Drosophila melanogaster: one gene and its partners. The protein of the gene in region 2 interacts with the protein of the main gene of each other region in a pairwise test. Each region holds a gene or a part of one and is shown on either strand. Other genes may lie near its edges. The genes, in order: Fer3HCH, CG17744, CG6470 and CG4882.

What was found.
Region 1: the proteins of CG17744 (region 2) and Fer3HCH interact in a two-hybrid assay, tested with the Drosophila melanogaster proteins (one large-scale study listed by BioGRID).
Region 3: the proteins of CG17744 (region 2) and CG6470 interact in a two-hybrid assay, tested with the Drosophila melanogaster proteins (one large-scale study listed by BioGRID).
Region 4: the proteins of CG17744 (region 2) and CG4882 interact in a two-hybrid assay, tested with the Drosophila melanogaster proteins (one large-scale study listed by BioGRID).

What each region holds. Positions count from the first base shown.
Region 1 is NC_004354.4:13,106,835-13,109,901, forward strand, and holds Fer3HCH (ferritin 3 heavy chain homologue), read right to left. Parts: upstream 1,361-3,067; 5' UTR 1,263-1,360; coding exon 1,128-1,262; intron 1,066-1,127; coding exon 640-1,065; 3' UTR 548-639; downstream 1-547.
Region 2 is NT_037436.4:7,025,252-7,028,939, forward strand, and holds CG17744 (uncharacterized protein), read right to left. Parts: upstream 1,544-3,688; 5' UTR 1,498-1,543; coding exon 1,249-1,497; intron 1,181-1,248; coding exon 713-1,180; 3' UTR 550-712; downstream 1-549.
Region 3 is NC_004354.4:18,512,207-18,516,904, forward strand, and holds CG6470 (uncharacterized protein), read right to left. Parts: upstream 2,662-4,698; 5' UTR 2,504-2,661; coding exon 2,131-2,503; intron 1,624-2,130; coding exon 983-1,623; 3' UTR 623-982; downstream 1-622. Other genes in the region: HisRS (Histidyl-tRNA synthetase), read left to right, coding at 3,384-3,476.
Region 4 is NT_033778.4:23,880,307-23,884,994, forward strand, and holds CG4882 (uncharacterized protein), read right to left. Parts: upstream 2,622-4,688; 5' UTR 2,512-2,621; intron 2,214-2,511; 5' UTR 2,012-2,213; coding exon 1,809-2,011; intron 1,755-1,808; coding exon 1,415-1,754; intron 1,282-1,414; coding exon 604-1,281; 3' UTR 511-603; downstream 1-510. Other genes in the region: TM4SF (transmembrane 4 superfamily), read left to right, coding at 1-48, 125-343; PHDP (putative homeodomain protein), read right to left, coding at 2,981-3,172, 3,441-3,634, 3,730-4,006.

The DNA of each region.
Region 1 (3,067 bases), on a different chromosome or scaffold from region 2:
CTGTACTTATTTCATATTATATTCTATGTAACTAAATGAATGAGTTACTATATTTGTCGTGTCTTGCCGACTTTCACGATCTCAATCTATATAGATATAGATAACCTATTAATACGTCACAAATGCTTATCATATAGACCAACTGCTTCATCATCAAGTTCCAAGTGTTTTATTATATAATGGGTAGAACAAGCGTAGTTAAATGTCAGGCTTCTTTTAACTTTTATCTTTATAGATTCGAGATTATCAACTGTTATCATATATATAACAGAAATATTGTGTCATTTGATTAGAAACGTATTTACAGAACTGGATAAAGCAGATGAGTTACTATCCAATACCATCAACACTGTGGTCCAACTAAAGGGTTATCAGATGGGTTTAGCTGTTGATTTCGTGAAGCTTTGTTTTTGGACTCAGTTTCGGTGTCGATTTCAATTAGAATCTTGCGCAACTCTTGGAGCCGATAAGCGAGTATATTTATAGAGTTAGTTTTACGCCAGCCACTTGATAATGTGGCAGCAAAAAAAAAAAAAAAAAAACAATTGATCGGCCAAAAAACGAATCTTTACTGAACACACATGGGTTTGCCAATTATAATACGTATTCTTCATCGGATGGTTGTCCATTTTGAGGTATTCATTTCGCAGGATGCATGCCGCTGCCCATATACTTGTCGAACAGGAATTCGCCCACCTGGTTTTGTGCCTTCTCCAATTGGCTAATATAGTCGGCCAGAATCTTCTGGCCATCCACTTGCTCCTGCAGGAAATTGGCCTCGATGAAATCGCAGAGATTCGGATCCGCTTCCTTGCCAGCCAGGGCGTGCAAATCGAGCAGATGCTTATTGACCTCCAGTTCCATTTTCATTGCGTGCTTTAGTGCATCCAAGGTGCTGGCGAAACAGGGCAACGGCTGTGGTACACTGCTCAAAATGATTAGACCACCACGCTTGTTCATGTACGTCATGATCTTCTCCGCGTGCTCCCGCTCCTCGACGCTCGCCTTTAGGAAGAATCGATGCATTCCGGGTGAACTGATATCGGAGCGATCGAAATGGTAGGCCTACGTGTATTGAACGTACTATATGCATATATATATATTCCCTATTGACTGCGGAACCTTACCATGGCCAGATACTGGTGGGATGCCTTCAACTCCATGTTGATCTGATCGTTTAGCTTCTTCTCGCAACTTTTGGCGAAGTTCTGACGCACCAGCATGCACATGTGGCGCCGAATGTCGCGGAAGCACCACGCCATGTCTTTTGCTTCTTTTTGAGTTTTTTTCTATCTTTTTTTTTTTTTTTTGTTTTTGAAAATTTAGAAACCTATACAATTTGGAATTGAAAGTCAAAACACAAACAGTGTGTCTAAAAGGCAACTGGGTCGGTTCGGACAGGTGTCGATGGATCGGATACGATCCATCTAAGTTCGTCCATTGATCTCATCTCCAAATATCCAGATCTTCACATCTCCGCATCGATCTCCGATCTCGCGATCTGGAGGAGGTGTTGATCCACCGTTCGGACGGCCAAAAAACAACGGGTTGGAGTTCAAAGTGCTGCCGGCTCTGATTTCACTTAACTTCCACTTAGCAATAGTGTGTACACAATCTCTCACTCGGTTTGTTCGCATCTATATACGTTCGTACGTATAGCTTATAGATACAGATACATATGTATATATGTACATATATAGTTAAATATCTGTGTCCAGATATGTTTGCTTTAACTTCAACAAGTACACACGAACACGGACACACTAAGTAAACGCAGTTATTGTCTTTTATTAAGTGAATGGAAGACGACTTTTGTCCGAGTTTTGTATAATCGTGTTATACCCTTTCTCATAGGGTATTTGAACGCTTTTCCCAAAATATTGCTGATACAGAAAATTGCGACAGCCAATGCAAGTTAAAATAAGAAATTTAATTTATTAAAGGATAGAAAACATAATATTATATTTTGTATTTCAAATGAAATGCTTTCGTAGGCGAGTTCAACGCGTCTTACAGGTTTAGGGTATTGAAAATGTAAAGATCTCCCAAGCCGAGGTTTCCAAACATTTCCTATAAACATCCAGGTGGTCAAAACTACTCGCACTTTACTACAAACATCCACTCATTACGCACATTTAAAAAACCAACAAAGCAATGGTGACTCTTGAAGCCATGTGCGCCCCATAAAAAGGCAATAATAAAGATATAAATGGTTCATTTTCACCGACACACAGGAAAACGAACCGAGAAAAAAAACACATAGGAGTTATGCAAATCATCGTTGAACTGGACAATAACAACCCAAATAAAAAATAGCAAACATTTTTAGATGAGTCTTTACGTTTTTTTTTTTCAAGCATTATGAAACAATTTTCCCTATGATTGTGATTAAATAATATATACACTTATTAAGTGAACGATGACATATGATCTTGTGTGTTTATAGAGGCAATTAACATGTTTAGTTCATTATGCAACAGTCGCAATAAAAATGAAAATTATTATCTTATTCAATATTTAAGGGTCAAATGGAAAGGCTTTTGAACACAGAAAAATTTCTAGAATTTTGTAGAAGATTTTACAGGCATTAAAGTTCTATAATTACTTAAGCATATTGAATTTCAACAAAATCCACATCGGAACTCAGTTAAATTTCAAATTCCACTCCCGTAATGCCAACAAGATTTTAATTTGGACAAGTGTGACAGCTTCAGCGACACATTTACATCACCTCCAAAATAATGGCAACAATCCAGTTTGCAGTGTCATAAAAACGTGCAACAAATTATTAACATTAAATTAAGCTGCGGAGTCACAAAAAAATTTTTATATACATTCGACGTGTTAACACAAAACTCAAACGTCAGCATATGAGGTAAAAAAAAAAAAACAAAATCCAACATAATTTGCTGAACATGAGGTCGAAAATAGCGTACGGCATACGAAAATATTTAATCGATTTGAGCTATTGTCGGCATGATACTCTTTCAAAGAGCATACAAACTTGTTCCAAAAATTAAACTATATATTAAAAAAATATTCAATTGTATGTATATAATTAAGTGTT
Region 2 (3,688 bases):
ATAGAACTTACACAGTAAAAGGCAGCTAAAACTTGCAAGATTTTAATAAAAATCAGTAAATAGCAAGGGTTTATCAATATGTAAATGGCTTTGGATGTAAGTCCTTCGCATACTAGCTTCCTTATATATACTTCCTTATATATATATAACTCTTAAGAGCGACAGCTCATAAATTTCTGAACAATTCCTATTTCTAACTTTTTCAATGACAATTTATATGTCGTACTTACAATGTAAGCAGCGAATTAACCATTTACCATTTAGCACTCAAATATTTGTACGAATTTCGCTCAGTGCAGCTTGTAGCCGGCTTTCGGTGCTGCATTTCCGCTTGAATGGCGTCTGTGCTCGGAGCAACTAACAGCCCATTGACAAGGGGCAGTGGGTGGGTGGCTGTTGGAGGGTCGTAGGGCTGTTCAGTGGATGGTGCGGAGGGGCAAGTGTGTCACCACACACGACCACGTAACTGAAAGGCATACTTACCGTTTTAAAACTGTGCGCTCTGTACATGGCACACTACTATATTGACTTTGAAGCATAAAAAGCTTTCCCAGATACTCCAATACACTGGAGGCGAACTCTTTATTACCGCCCATATGCCGGAGTCATGTTTCTGTGTTCTGTAGCTCCAAGTGTGGGTATTGTACAATGAAAACCGTTGGAAGCCATGCCATGGGAATAGACGGTGAGATGACTTCCTGATCGATTTGGCTTAAGTCCGGGCCTTATCAGCATTGGTTCCCGTGGCAAGTGGTCCTTGGGGTTTTGCCAACATATCTAATGTTTCGAATTCATCCTCCTCTTCGGACTCCAAGTGGGCATCGAAAAGGGCACAGAAGTCCCTTATGTAGTTCCTAAGACTTGCAATTCGCGACTGCAATTGCACAAAGATGCGTTCATCGAAGACTTTCACCTTGATTCTATCGCCAGTATCTTTAGTTATCGAAGCCAGATCGTATAGGTCCCTTCGCTCGTCCAGATTCTTGCTACACAGGCGGCTGAGGTGCGTTACAAAGTCCTCCATGTCCTCTATAAGTTCCACTACTAAAAAATAGTTTTTGGTCTTATTTCGAGCAGTTATAGGCTTTGCAACGGAATAGGCATAATCGAACTTTTCACCAATGGCCTTAAGATCACCCGGTAGTCCCTTTAAAGCATTCTGAGTGCAGACTAAAAGACCCTGTAGTATAATTTATTAATATATTATTAGTTTTTTCTTATTTCGTTTTTTTAATAACTCTTGCTTACATTCATATCTGTGAAGGCTCTCCAGTCTGCTGATAATAGCTCATAATCTGGCCACCAGTCTTCATTTTCATCTTGAAACTCATCTCGAGTGGAAGCTATCATGCGAGTCTTTAGTATCTGAAGTAGTTGTCCCAGTCGTGGTTTCATCAGCTCTATGATCAGGTTTCGTAACTCTTCAATCTCTTTGCTTCCTTTAGAATCTTTGGGAGCTTCCTTCAATAGTTTATTTAGGACTTTAGCAGACTCCATGGTGGAAAAAAAATATAATGTGGCAAGTTGAAGCTGCGAGTTTGAGTAAAAATATTGCTGTATTAGCACCAAAATTTTTGTTTTGAAGTAGAATTCAGAAAACGCCTGGCCTCCTGAATTTTCACCATGCACTTCAGGACCAGTTATGCACATCCTCTTTATATACATATATACATATATTTAAAATTGTGCATATTTTGCCTTAACTGCAGCTGCCGCGGGAGAACGGCTTACGCTGCGTATACGCAACGTTGACACTATCTGTTTGCTTTTGGGTTTATAAAACTGTCTAAATCAACATATAAACCAACACACTGGAACATAAACACAAAAAAAATCTTCAACTTGGTCATAATATGTTCGTTTTTTAGCATGTTACATTTTAGGTTTTGTTTTTATTTGACAGGTTTTCTCGTTTTAAACTAATTGTAGTTGGCACTTTTGACCCACAATAAAATGCAATTTTAACCCTTTTGCTTTTCGTATTCGGTCTTGGGGTCAGAACAGCATAAATATGAAGGTGAAAATATAGAAATAAATTCATTGAGCAGAAAAGTGTCACAAAAACCTAAATAAACAAAGTGTAACAACATCTTAACACATTTATTAGACAAAATATGCTACATAGGCATAGTTTACATTTTTTCTGTTATGGGATTTTGTTTGTGCACAGAAACAAATGAGTTAATCTTGTGATTAAGTAAATAAATAATAAGTAAATAAATAAACTTCAATTTTCTGAGGGAGTATCCCTTTTTTTTTTTAATAATTTACTATCCTAACTGGAGCAATTCAGTATAAAATCCTATTTTGCCTCTTCTATAAGCCCGAAAGCTTCTCCGCTGAGTTCTTCTGCTGCAGCTAGTATATATGTATTCAGTTCTGTATATTTGTATGTGTGTGTATATATATGAAGCTTATGCTCCGCAGGATAAACAGTCGGGCAGAAAGGAACTGTGACAGTCGGAGAGGCGGAAGGACAAAGTGACTGAGGGACCAGCAGACAGACGCTTCTGCAAAAATGTTGGCGCAAAAACTTTTCGAGATTTGTGTCAGCTCGTTTGAGAATTAGTCGTAGGTTTTTAGCAAAATTAAAAAAAATCTGTCACTATGCGGTTGGCATTTGCCGTCTCATTGTTTTTCGGTCCCCTAACAGGGCCCTTGATCCCCCGGCTACCCCATTTCCACCCACTTTTCCAGTCTCAGTTCCATTTCCACATCCCCAGCTCCGGCTCCTTTTCATATTCGGCTTGTGTTTCCATTTCTACTTCTCGGCCACTATTTAGACAGTCACTTCTGCTCGCTGCACATGGACACTGCTAAATATACACATTAAAAATAATGTTACACAAATATAGAACCTTTTATAAGAAACGACGACTTAGAAGCAAGTTGGGAAATTCTTAAAAATAAATAGGGATTCATGTTATTCAGCCTATTATGAAACAGGTGCTAATATCCGCATGGTCATGCTAAAATTTTCGTTTTTAATCATAAAAATATTTTAAATTAGGTTTTTGAAGTATATTAAATACAGAGGTGCCCCATAGAACCATATGTGCTCGAGGTTGCGTGTACATGTTGTATGTACAAGTTTTGCGTTATATGCTCTCTGCGCTTTGATGCGACCGTTTCTTAAATAATTTATGTGCCGCAAAATGTGCAAAGTAATTTATTTTGATTATATGCAAAACAAGAACCGGCGCAAAAATGAAAATGGGCATCAAATAAAATGCGAAACGGCCGTCGAGTGTCAAAAAAAGGAGCTTTGGAGTCAAGTGCAGAGTAAAGTGAATTAAGTCCTGCACCTGGGCAGCTTTATTTTCGTATTTCCAAAAGAATCCCGCCTCTTGAAAGGCAAAAGAGGCCGTAAAAATTTATGTTGCTATAATTTAGCTTTAAAATCGCACCAAACCTCAGCCCAGCTCATCCGAAAAGTGAGAAGTGGTAACCAAGGGGGCGGTGCACGCATTTAAACGGAAATAAAATAAAATTACAAAAAGTGCGCAACTTTCTGACGTTGCGATTGTTATCCTCGTTGCTCCGGTGTTTTCCTTTTCAGATTATTTTTTTGGGCGCTTTTTTTTTTGCGTTTTTTTGGACTTTTAGCGAGGGCCGAAACGGCTGTCAGAAAGTGATTTAGAAACTATGCTATGACCCGGCTACCTTGGCCAGGTCGAGAACCGAGTTC
Region 3 (4,698 bases), on a different chromosome or scaffold from region 2:
CAACAGCGGACAGATGTGCTCTTCTATGTTCTCCAAAGGCCACCGACGACAGACAGTCCCAACAAGATTCCGTTCGATTCCGGCAGCTCCCGCCTGTGACCACCAGCACCTGTTGCGATCGACTGATGGCTTCGATCCGCCCGAGTTGCCGCTCATCGCCTATCTTGTATTCCCTGCACACGACCCACTACCGCCAACGCCACCGCCGCCGCCGCAAGCGCGAAAGAGATAGCGCACAGAAACTTTGAGCTTGACCGCCAAAGCTCGGCACGGAACGGAACGGTGAACGGTGAACGGTAAACGGTAAGGCAAGGTAGCGCCGGTGACGCAACGGACGTGCGTGCAGTCAGCTTCATTGAGCGAATGTATCGATGCACAGCTATCGTATCGATTGCTCGAGCTGGGTATCGAAGCGCTTCTGTAATACATCGATATCATTCTTCTTTACATATTAGATAGTGGACTAGAGAGGAAGCGATTTCTCATCGATTTTTTCGATAAATTTAAAAATATATATACCCATTTTAGTATCTTATTATGCTTTTAAAGCCTCAATGGATTATGATTCTTTTACCTTTCCGCCAAGTATCTAAGAAATGACAATTCATTGCAAGTAAATCTTCTGTTTAGTTCAAATATTTAATTATATTCAATACATTTGCATCAACGTGCTGGGGACTCTTAATTTAGTTTTAATTGACCGTCGTTTGTGGAATGTGACTATTCAACGCCAGTGTGTGTTTCGGTCTTCAGAACAGGTGAGTCTCCCACTAATCGTGTCATTGTGCTCAATTCATACTTCTAATAATTTTGCCTTCAATTCCACAAATTTTGATGATCCTGGTAAACAAATCAAATACAGTTGAGCTGCATACGCCCTGCACTTGACAATTTTCCTTTCGTTTCAATGGATTCTTCTGGTGTTTGGAAGCAAGCGTTGGTTCTGCATCCAGTTTCTGGTGAAGATTGGTAATGAGGACGACTAGCGCCAGCGCTCGTGCACTGCCGACTCGCGCATGATAATCTTCTGAAGTTTTTCCTGCTGGGTCATCTGATCCTGCTGGTTGGTGGCACTGTTTCCCTGGTGGTGAACCGGCTGCTGCGCCCGCTGAAAGTTGGGCAACGGCGCCTTCTTCTCGTGCGCCAGTTCCGTGAAGGCCAGCTTGCGGCGCTGCTGCGGCGGTATCTTCTTGCAGTAGCTCAGCAGATGGATGTGCAGCGTGCGTTCCAGGTCGAAGGAGCGATCGCAGTACTTGCACAAATGGACGGTGGTCAGGGTGGTTCTGCTCTCCCGCGGTCGCCGTGCACGGAAGCGCACCTTGAAGTCATCGTCGTGGGTGTGCCGGTGGGCGCCCAGCAGCGATCGGATGTGAAACTTGGCACCGCACACGCCGCACGAGTAGCTGGGCAGCTGCTGGTCCGTGGCATAGCTGCCCAGCGGCTTCAGCTGCAGTCGGCCAAACGGTCCGCCCTGATACTCCCCGCCATCTCCTTCATCATGATCGGGCTTCGTCGTTCCGTTGGAGGCTTGCTGTGCGGCCATAATGGCTTCCATTTCCGCTGCCTCGGCCTCGGCCTCGTAGTTCCGGGGCGTGAGGCCATTGCGACGAGGAGATAGCAATACTGTTGGAGAATGGAGAATGGAGAATTGGTTAACTCAATATGAGATCTTAAATTAATATCACTTTTAATATACTATATTAATCAGTTAAGTACTATATACCAAATTTGGTGTTAGTAGCTTTAATAAGGCCCAAGATCATATAGATAACAGGTGTCCAAATCGATTATATTTAATAACCTACAATTGTAATCGTTGTTTTAAAATAAATTGCACTTGAAACTTATGTTTCGTGATTTATATGAGTATAATAAACCAATAAAGTACTGTACACCAAATTTGGTGTCTCTTGCCTAACTAAGCACCAAGATCATATAGAAAGAAGGGTCTTAAGTAGATGATATATGTAATGATGATAAATATATACTGCTGTTTCAAGATTTTAAAGAGTTCTAATAACCAATAACGTATTGTATACCAAATTTGGTGTCTCTAGCTTGAATAATACCCAAGATCATATAGAAAGGTGCATCCCAAATCGACGATATGCAAATGTATTTGTAACTTACGATTGCAACTGCTGCGTCTTCTGTTATCGTAGTTGTTCGTCTTCTCCAGCGGCGAACTCTCCTCCTCGTCGGTCTCTTCCTGAGCTGGAGCGTGTAGCAGACTCCTCTTGCTGCGCCTGCGACGCTCACCATGGGCATGGCCAGCCATGCTCGATCCTTCCCGCCCTGCTCCTCCGCCTGCGCCAGCCGTGCTTCGCTTGGCCGCCCGAGTGGATGCACTGGCTCTGTTCGACTCGGACAGGTAGATCAGCTTGCGCTCCACCGCCCTGCGCGCGTTCTCCACCTGAGCCTCCACGAATTCCTGCGGCTGAATCCTGGAGCATCCGGTCCGCTTGGCGCGCTTCACCTTGATGGGCTTTTGCGGCTTGTTCATCTCGTGTGTGGTGTGCGTGTGTGTTTGTGTATGTGTAGCGTGTCTTATTAATTTTCAATGCTATTTTTTTAATTTCAGTTTGTAGTCAGTCGGTGTCGAAGGAATACTGAATCTAAGGGTGATGCTTAAATATATACCAATGAAACTAAGCACATCGCCTGCTGGGCAGGGAAATTTTAAATGTTGAAGTAAAAAACATTTTTCCAATCTTATATTTCATTTCGAATTTTTCGATTTTTAAACAATTTAACAATAAACAACAATTTAAACAAAAAACGCTTCTTAAAATATTTCAGGATTTGCTATTTAAAAAAAAATATATTTTTTTTAATTGATGATTTGTAATATATGTAGTTTTGACAAAAAATATTCTATTTAATGATTTTAGGATAGATAAGTTTGTGCTGTAATCGAATCAACTTATTTTAACTTATTTGAACTTGTTTAAAACAAAAAACAAACAAGATCAACTTTACGCAATCAAGTGACATGAACATTTTTATTTAAAAAAAAAAAAAAACGATAAAATTAGCTAATAAATTGTAGTGCAGTTAATATTACTAACAGTGGCCAGCATTCGTGTGTTGATTGTTGTTAATAAATTATAAATTATACACTTTACATGTCCGCCAGCCCAGTTATCAACCACGGTTTGAGTTCGCACTAGCGCACGTTTTCCCACCACGCGACGAACGGTCACATTGACCACCGCGTGCGAATTTTTTTTTTGGCCAGCAGCGCAGAAAAAGCAGCTGAAAGCTGGAAAAGACAGCATAAATCGCCGTGTCGATTCGAGACGATTGAAACGCCGCGCGCCCGCCTTTTGCAGTGGACTGTCAACCGTTTGCCGTTTTTCATTTTTGGCCATCGAGCACGGAATATGAGTGATACGCGTGAGCAGATTCTGGAGCAAATCAAAGTGCAAGGCGATCTCGTCCGTCAATTGAAAGCAGCGAAGGAGTCGAAGGAGAAGGTCAGTTTTTGGTCGTACTTCCAGTTGGAAACCGACTCCCTCCCTCCACCCAGCACTACCACTTCCACCATCCAACCCCCCCACCCGTCAGCAACGCGTCCGCCTTCCAGTGTCATCCCCCTTTGTGTGTGTACAATGGAATAAGTGCAATTGTTGCCGTAATTCCCGGCCCTGCTTTCGTCATCAAATTCGAAATCCCACTCGCATACATATTTCATCAGATCGTCATGCAGTTGAGAATAAGGGAAATAACAAAAAACACACACATGCTGCGCTGGCATTTGGAGTTGTTCGAAATCTTCGTTTTTGCAGTGTAATAATTAGATGAATGTAACATCGGAAGAGCGGTGCAAAGGAAAAACGGCAAATTAAAGGAGCGCGCAGACTTTCACATTTACATTCGCATTCGCACATTCGTGCCACTCTGTTGTTATTGTTGTCTCGCTCTGGCCAACGGCAAATGCACTGCTTCTGTGTGCGTGTGTGTTAGTGTTGTGCACAGTGATGCCAAACTATTGTCCCGACTATTTGGCTGGAAAGTAGCTTAAATTAGCAGTGCTGTCCGAAGCTGTGACTAATAGAAGCAATTGTTTATATTAATCTCTTGCTGATGTAAGTCTACTGATGCTCACTTCAAATCTTTGGCTGGATTTCCTTGAAACTGTGCTGAAAACAGTTGGAGACTTCTAGAAAACTCAATAATCTTTTGTGTTAATAAGACCTTAAAGTGATTTTTCCTGTACTCTTTGATGTTCTAGACGCTGTCCAATTAGAACAAGTATTGTACAGGTATTAAATAATCCAATTGGGATACTTAGGATATCTTTCAGATTTGAAGTTGAAGCTTGCATGTTCAGTAATCGAAAAAAGATTTAATTTCATAATTTTAGATTTAGATTTAATTAAAGTCAAGTAGCTAAATGAGACTAATAGCTGGATTTGCATCACCAAAGTGAGTGCTCTATGACCGACTGACTGACTGAAAAGAGAGCGACTGGTCAAACAGGAGGCATGTACAAAAGGCACATGGTGGTTATAGCGATTATATCAAAAACCTGCTAGACCACAATCAACCGATCCAAGACTTGACGACTGCAACATGTGATTTGGGCTATGAGGCATTTGCAACAACGCTTACCACCAACTGCACTTATTCCTATTGTTCAAATCTGTAGCCTTGTAAAGAGGCAATATCTTATATATAGATTTATGTACTATTTTT
Region 4 (4,688 bases), on a different chromosome or scaffold from region 2:
CGCCTGCTGATCACCGCCTTCGGAGCTGCCATCATAGCCATATTCCAGGTGAGTCCCCCCCAATGGATTCTCTCTCAACTCTCAGTTAGTTGACCAATAATAAATTGAAAACCAATTCGCACAGAGCCTGGGAATCTTCTGTGCTGTCCACCTGACCATTCTGTTCGGCAAGAACGACAACACCCATCCCATGAACATGAACCGGAAAAAGAAGCAGCAGCAGTTCTTGCCCCTGACCATACAGGACAAGAGGCACGACATGCCCTCGCCCATCAATCTATCCCCTTCAGCACCCGGGCAGCGGGTTTTAAAAACTGCTCTGCCCTCGGCCATGCACAAATGACAGACGATTAGCTTTTAAGGATGCAAAAATTTATGGAAACTCCAAAGAAAAAGTATAAAAAAAATGTTGTAAACTGAGATGGAATGAATATAACTGTGACCCTCAATGTTACGTTATGGTAATTTTAAACAATTTAACGTTCGAGAAAAGAAACAACATTTGAATTTGGATTAACTCTCCAGTAGTTTAATTAAAGCTTAAAAACAATTGGATCTAACTTGTTTGTGGCCAGGAGTTGTCGTGGGTCCACGGGTTGTCCACTAGCCGTTGTGCGTGATAGTCGGCGGCACATAGAAGGTGTCTGCTGCCTTGGGCTTCTTCTTTTTGCCGAACCAGCGCTTGGGATAGTAGACCTTCTTCTTGTAGATCTGGATGTCGATGTCGTCCCGGTTCTCGAAGAACCACAGGTTCTGCCGCTTCGCCTCCAGTTCGCTGAGGGTCTTCTGGATGGTGGCCTTACGCTCCTCCACGCTCTGCGAATCCAGTTGTCGCTGCACCGCTGCCTCAAACTTCTTGGCCCACTCCTGATACGACTCGCCGTAGTCGGCCAGCAGTTTGGGCTCAAACTTCTGCACATTGGCTTTGACGCTGTTCTCCAGTAGCGATTGAATGGCATTCGATTTGCTACTCTTCTCAACGGCTTCCTGCAGGGACTTCAGCAGCTCTTCGGATCCCTCCAGCTTGAGGCTTTCAACTATGCTCTGTGCGGCTAAAAGAGTCTCCTTGTGCAGGGCAGCTGAGTTCGAGGCCAGAAAGCTGGAGGCCTCGGGCACTTGTCCGGTTAGGACATAGCCAAGTAGGGCAACGTTCTGCTTCAGCTCTTTCAAGGACCCTTCGCCGGAGCCCAATCGAACCATGGCGCGACCCAGTTTCTTCTCTTCGGTATTTTCGCTGGCGTCGTCGGGGTAATTGCGAATGAACTTCACGCGAACTTTTTCCTAGCAAATTCAGGTATGATTAGTAAACTTGGTAAAATGCCAAAATGAACAAAATCTTAAATAGCTATTTATGAGTGAATAAAGTTTCCAGCCGCTTAGCTGATAATTCAGCCACTATCGAAAATCATCTTACCACTTCAACATTTTTGGCAGGAGGTTGAACTTGAGAGGACTCGAAGGGCTTGAACTCCTTGGCGAAGGACCAGAAGGACTGTAGGGCCAGGGACTCCAGCAACTCGTTGTTGCATAAGTTTCTGTCCACGAGAATAGTGGCCAGCTGGGCAGATTCCACCGCGTGGCCATTGTGCAGCAGGAAGTCCAACAGGAAGCAGCCAGAGAACTGGTCCACAAAGAGCCCGTACTGGATGGGATTACGGAGCACCGATATCGTCTCCTGCGGATTGGTGGAGTCCAGCAATTGCTTGACCAAGACACTGGGAATCAGCGGCACCAAACTGGCCTCCTTCTGTTTCCTGCAAGAGTTATCTTATGAGTAGGGACACTACTTCCAATATGGCCGCACCCACCTGAGCTTGAGCAGCCGGTCCACCAGGTCCATGGGACGGTTATCCGGATTGACGAACACATCCAAATCCACACTCGTTACGGCATGACTGCTGCCTGCGGCGAATTTAGCCGGTCCCTCGTGCGCCACCTTGTTGAATTCCGCCGAGAAGTAGGACACCAGTCTCCTGGGTGGCAGTGCGCAGGAAATCCTCGATCGCAGCATTGTCAATTGTCTTTTTTAATTCATAAAGTGTTATAACCAGCCGATTAACAAATAACATGCAGCTGGCCAAAAGAGCAACAAAATCCCTAGCGCGTTCGCCAGTTAATACCGCAGATAGCGGTATTTTCGTATTCGAAAGCATTGAGGGTATTTCGACTTATAATATGTTGCTTTTTCCGGGAACGATGGAATTGAAAATGTCCTTGGAATATTTGAATAAAATAATTAATTTGAATTCTTTTATTCTAAATGAAAAAACACATAAAATAATCAAATCAAATTGCAACAAAACTATTTAAAAAACGGAAGAGTACGTTTTATATATAGTTAAAAGGCTAAATGATATTTGTATATTTATGTATATATTTAATATCTGTATATACGTTTCACTAATGAAGTGTAGAAAAATGTAAAATGAACAACGATTTCACAGTTTATTAAAATCATTCGAGGGTGTTGAAAGGCGGGCACTACTTATAAATTGCAATATTAAGTTATACATCTGGGCACATATGATTTCAATAAACTGCAATTCAATCTTGATCTTGTTAATTAGATCTGAAAGGTATTCACCGCCAATCCCTGCGGTGGGCACTCCACAACAATTGCTATATTGAGCGCACCGAATCGCCACCATCAACTGATTACACGCCCTAATGCCGATCCAATCCACTTTTTCCACCCGATAATGGGATGACAATTTACCCCTGAAGGGCGTGAGGTTTGGTACTTGTAGATGGTGACCCTTCAACCCCCATTCAAGTCCTTGTTTTTCTTCCCACAGGCTTAGCCGGCTGAGCCCTCAAAAGGGTGCTAAGCCAGTTGTCCCGGATGATATGAAAACAAGCAAAGTGTTACACAGATCTTATTTATTTAACGCAATTCGCTCCAAATAGTCAGTAAAAATAATATCAAAATAACTGCATTCATCAAAATGTATACTAATATTTACATAGATATTAGTGGATTCTATATTTGATCGTATAAGCATTTCATTTGACGGCCATGGCCATTCTGGGGTCCCTTGAGAGATGGGCCCAGGTATTTCGATCCTGCTACAGGATTCTTCCGGCCATCCAATTTGCTCGACTTGTCCTTCATTATGTAAATGGCATGCCTCTCCTGCTTGCGAAACTTGGCTCTTCTGTTCTGGAACCAGACCTAAAACACACAATGGTTTTTTTTTTTTTTAATTTCGATTACTAAGTCGTTTTGTATCCTTCAACAGGATATGACTAAATTCGTTTCGATTGTAAGCTGGCTTCGAGAAACCTATAATATTTGAACCTATCAACAGCAGATCGAGTTCTTTTCAATAGTTATATTATATTATGTAAGTATTATTTGTTATATGTTAATTATTGAAATATGTGTATCCTAAACTACCCACTCACTTAACCAGCAATTCAATCTCATTAGTTTTCCTCACCTGAACTCGAGCTTCCGTCAAGTGCAGCTTGGATGCGATCTCTTCCCTGGTGTAGATATCTGGGTAGTGGGTTTCCAGGAAGATCTTCTCCAGCTCGTTCAGCTGGTTGGACGTGAAAGTGGTGCGAATGCGCCTCTGTTTTGATTTGTCGGTCAGGCTCAAGCCGTCGTCTCCATAGGACTTCAAATGGAAGTCTATGGCGAGGTGAGAGTTGGTTCAAGATTACAATCCATAATCGATCCATCCAGGTGCACTGGCTGCAGGTGGAACTGATGGCCACTGTACTTACCCGTGTTGTAGGAGCCAATGTTATGGGTGGCCGGGTAAAACTCGGAGACAGTGGTGATTTTGGAGAACAATAAGCTCGACTCCTGGTTGAGGGAACCCCGGATTGCGGACTCGTTGGCGCAGAGCTTGTAACTGGAGTCAATCATGAGGTTGTAGTGATTTATGTGATTGGCCACGGAGAGTCCTCCTCCATTGGCGCCGCTGTTGTAGAACTCCGAGTTCGCGGTGTACAAACAATCCTTGTCGAAGTTCGCCTTGTTGAGCAGTGAAAATTCCATCGCATCTGCAGGTAAATTCACACACGGCACTCGATTGAAATTTTACAGCCCGCTAATGAGTCATTCGGCCATAAAACACATAGTTATAGTAGCTCCGCGGCCGCACACACTTTTAACTGCCCTTGAATAAATAAGCTTCGATTACGATTGTATCAACTACAGGACATCCACGTTGGACGAACAAGGATGCTGCACTTGTCTCGGGAGAGCGGGACGGAAAATTTCATTCGTTTCCGCGTTTGGAGGCGGTCCTAACGAGCTCCACTCGACATAGGGGTGGAAATCTGACTTTCCGGCGCGTGTCGTGCACTGCGCGAAAATTCACCGCATTTCCCCAATTGACTTGTCACAGCATGTCTAAAGAATTGGTTTTGGTTTTAATTTCATTGATTGCATCGCTGTCTGTTGGCTCTGATCTAATCTTCACTCAGAAATCTTCTTTTCAATGAATATTTCTTCAAAATCTGAATATTTTCCAAGCTCCATCTTTAAGCGAACTTTTCTTTGAGTGCACCAATTTTCACAGGCCTCAAAAAGCAACACTCAGAAGATTAAATTGGCTTATCGGGCAACCATGACGCTGGGATGTCCTGTCTGAGCGATTAAAGGAAATGCTTCTCTGGGATAATATAAAAAGTAAGAAAAATGAAAATCCTCTTTACGTTGCAATAACTCTTAAGGA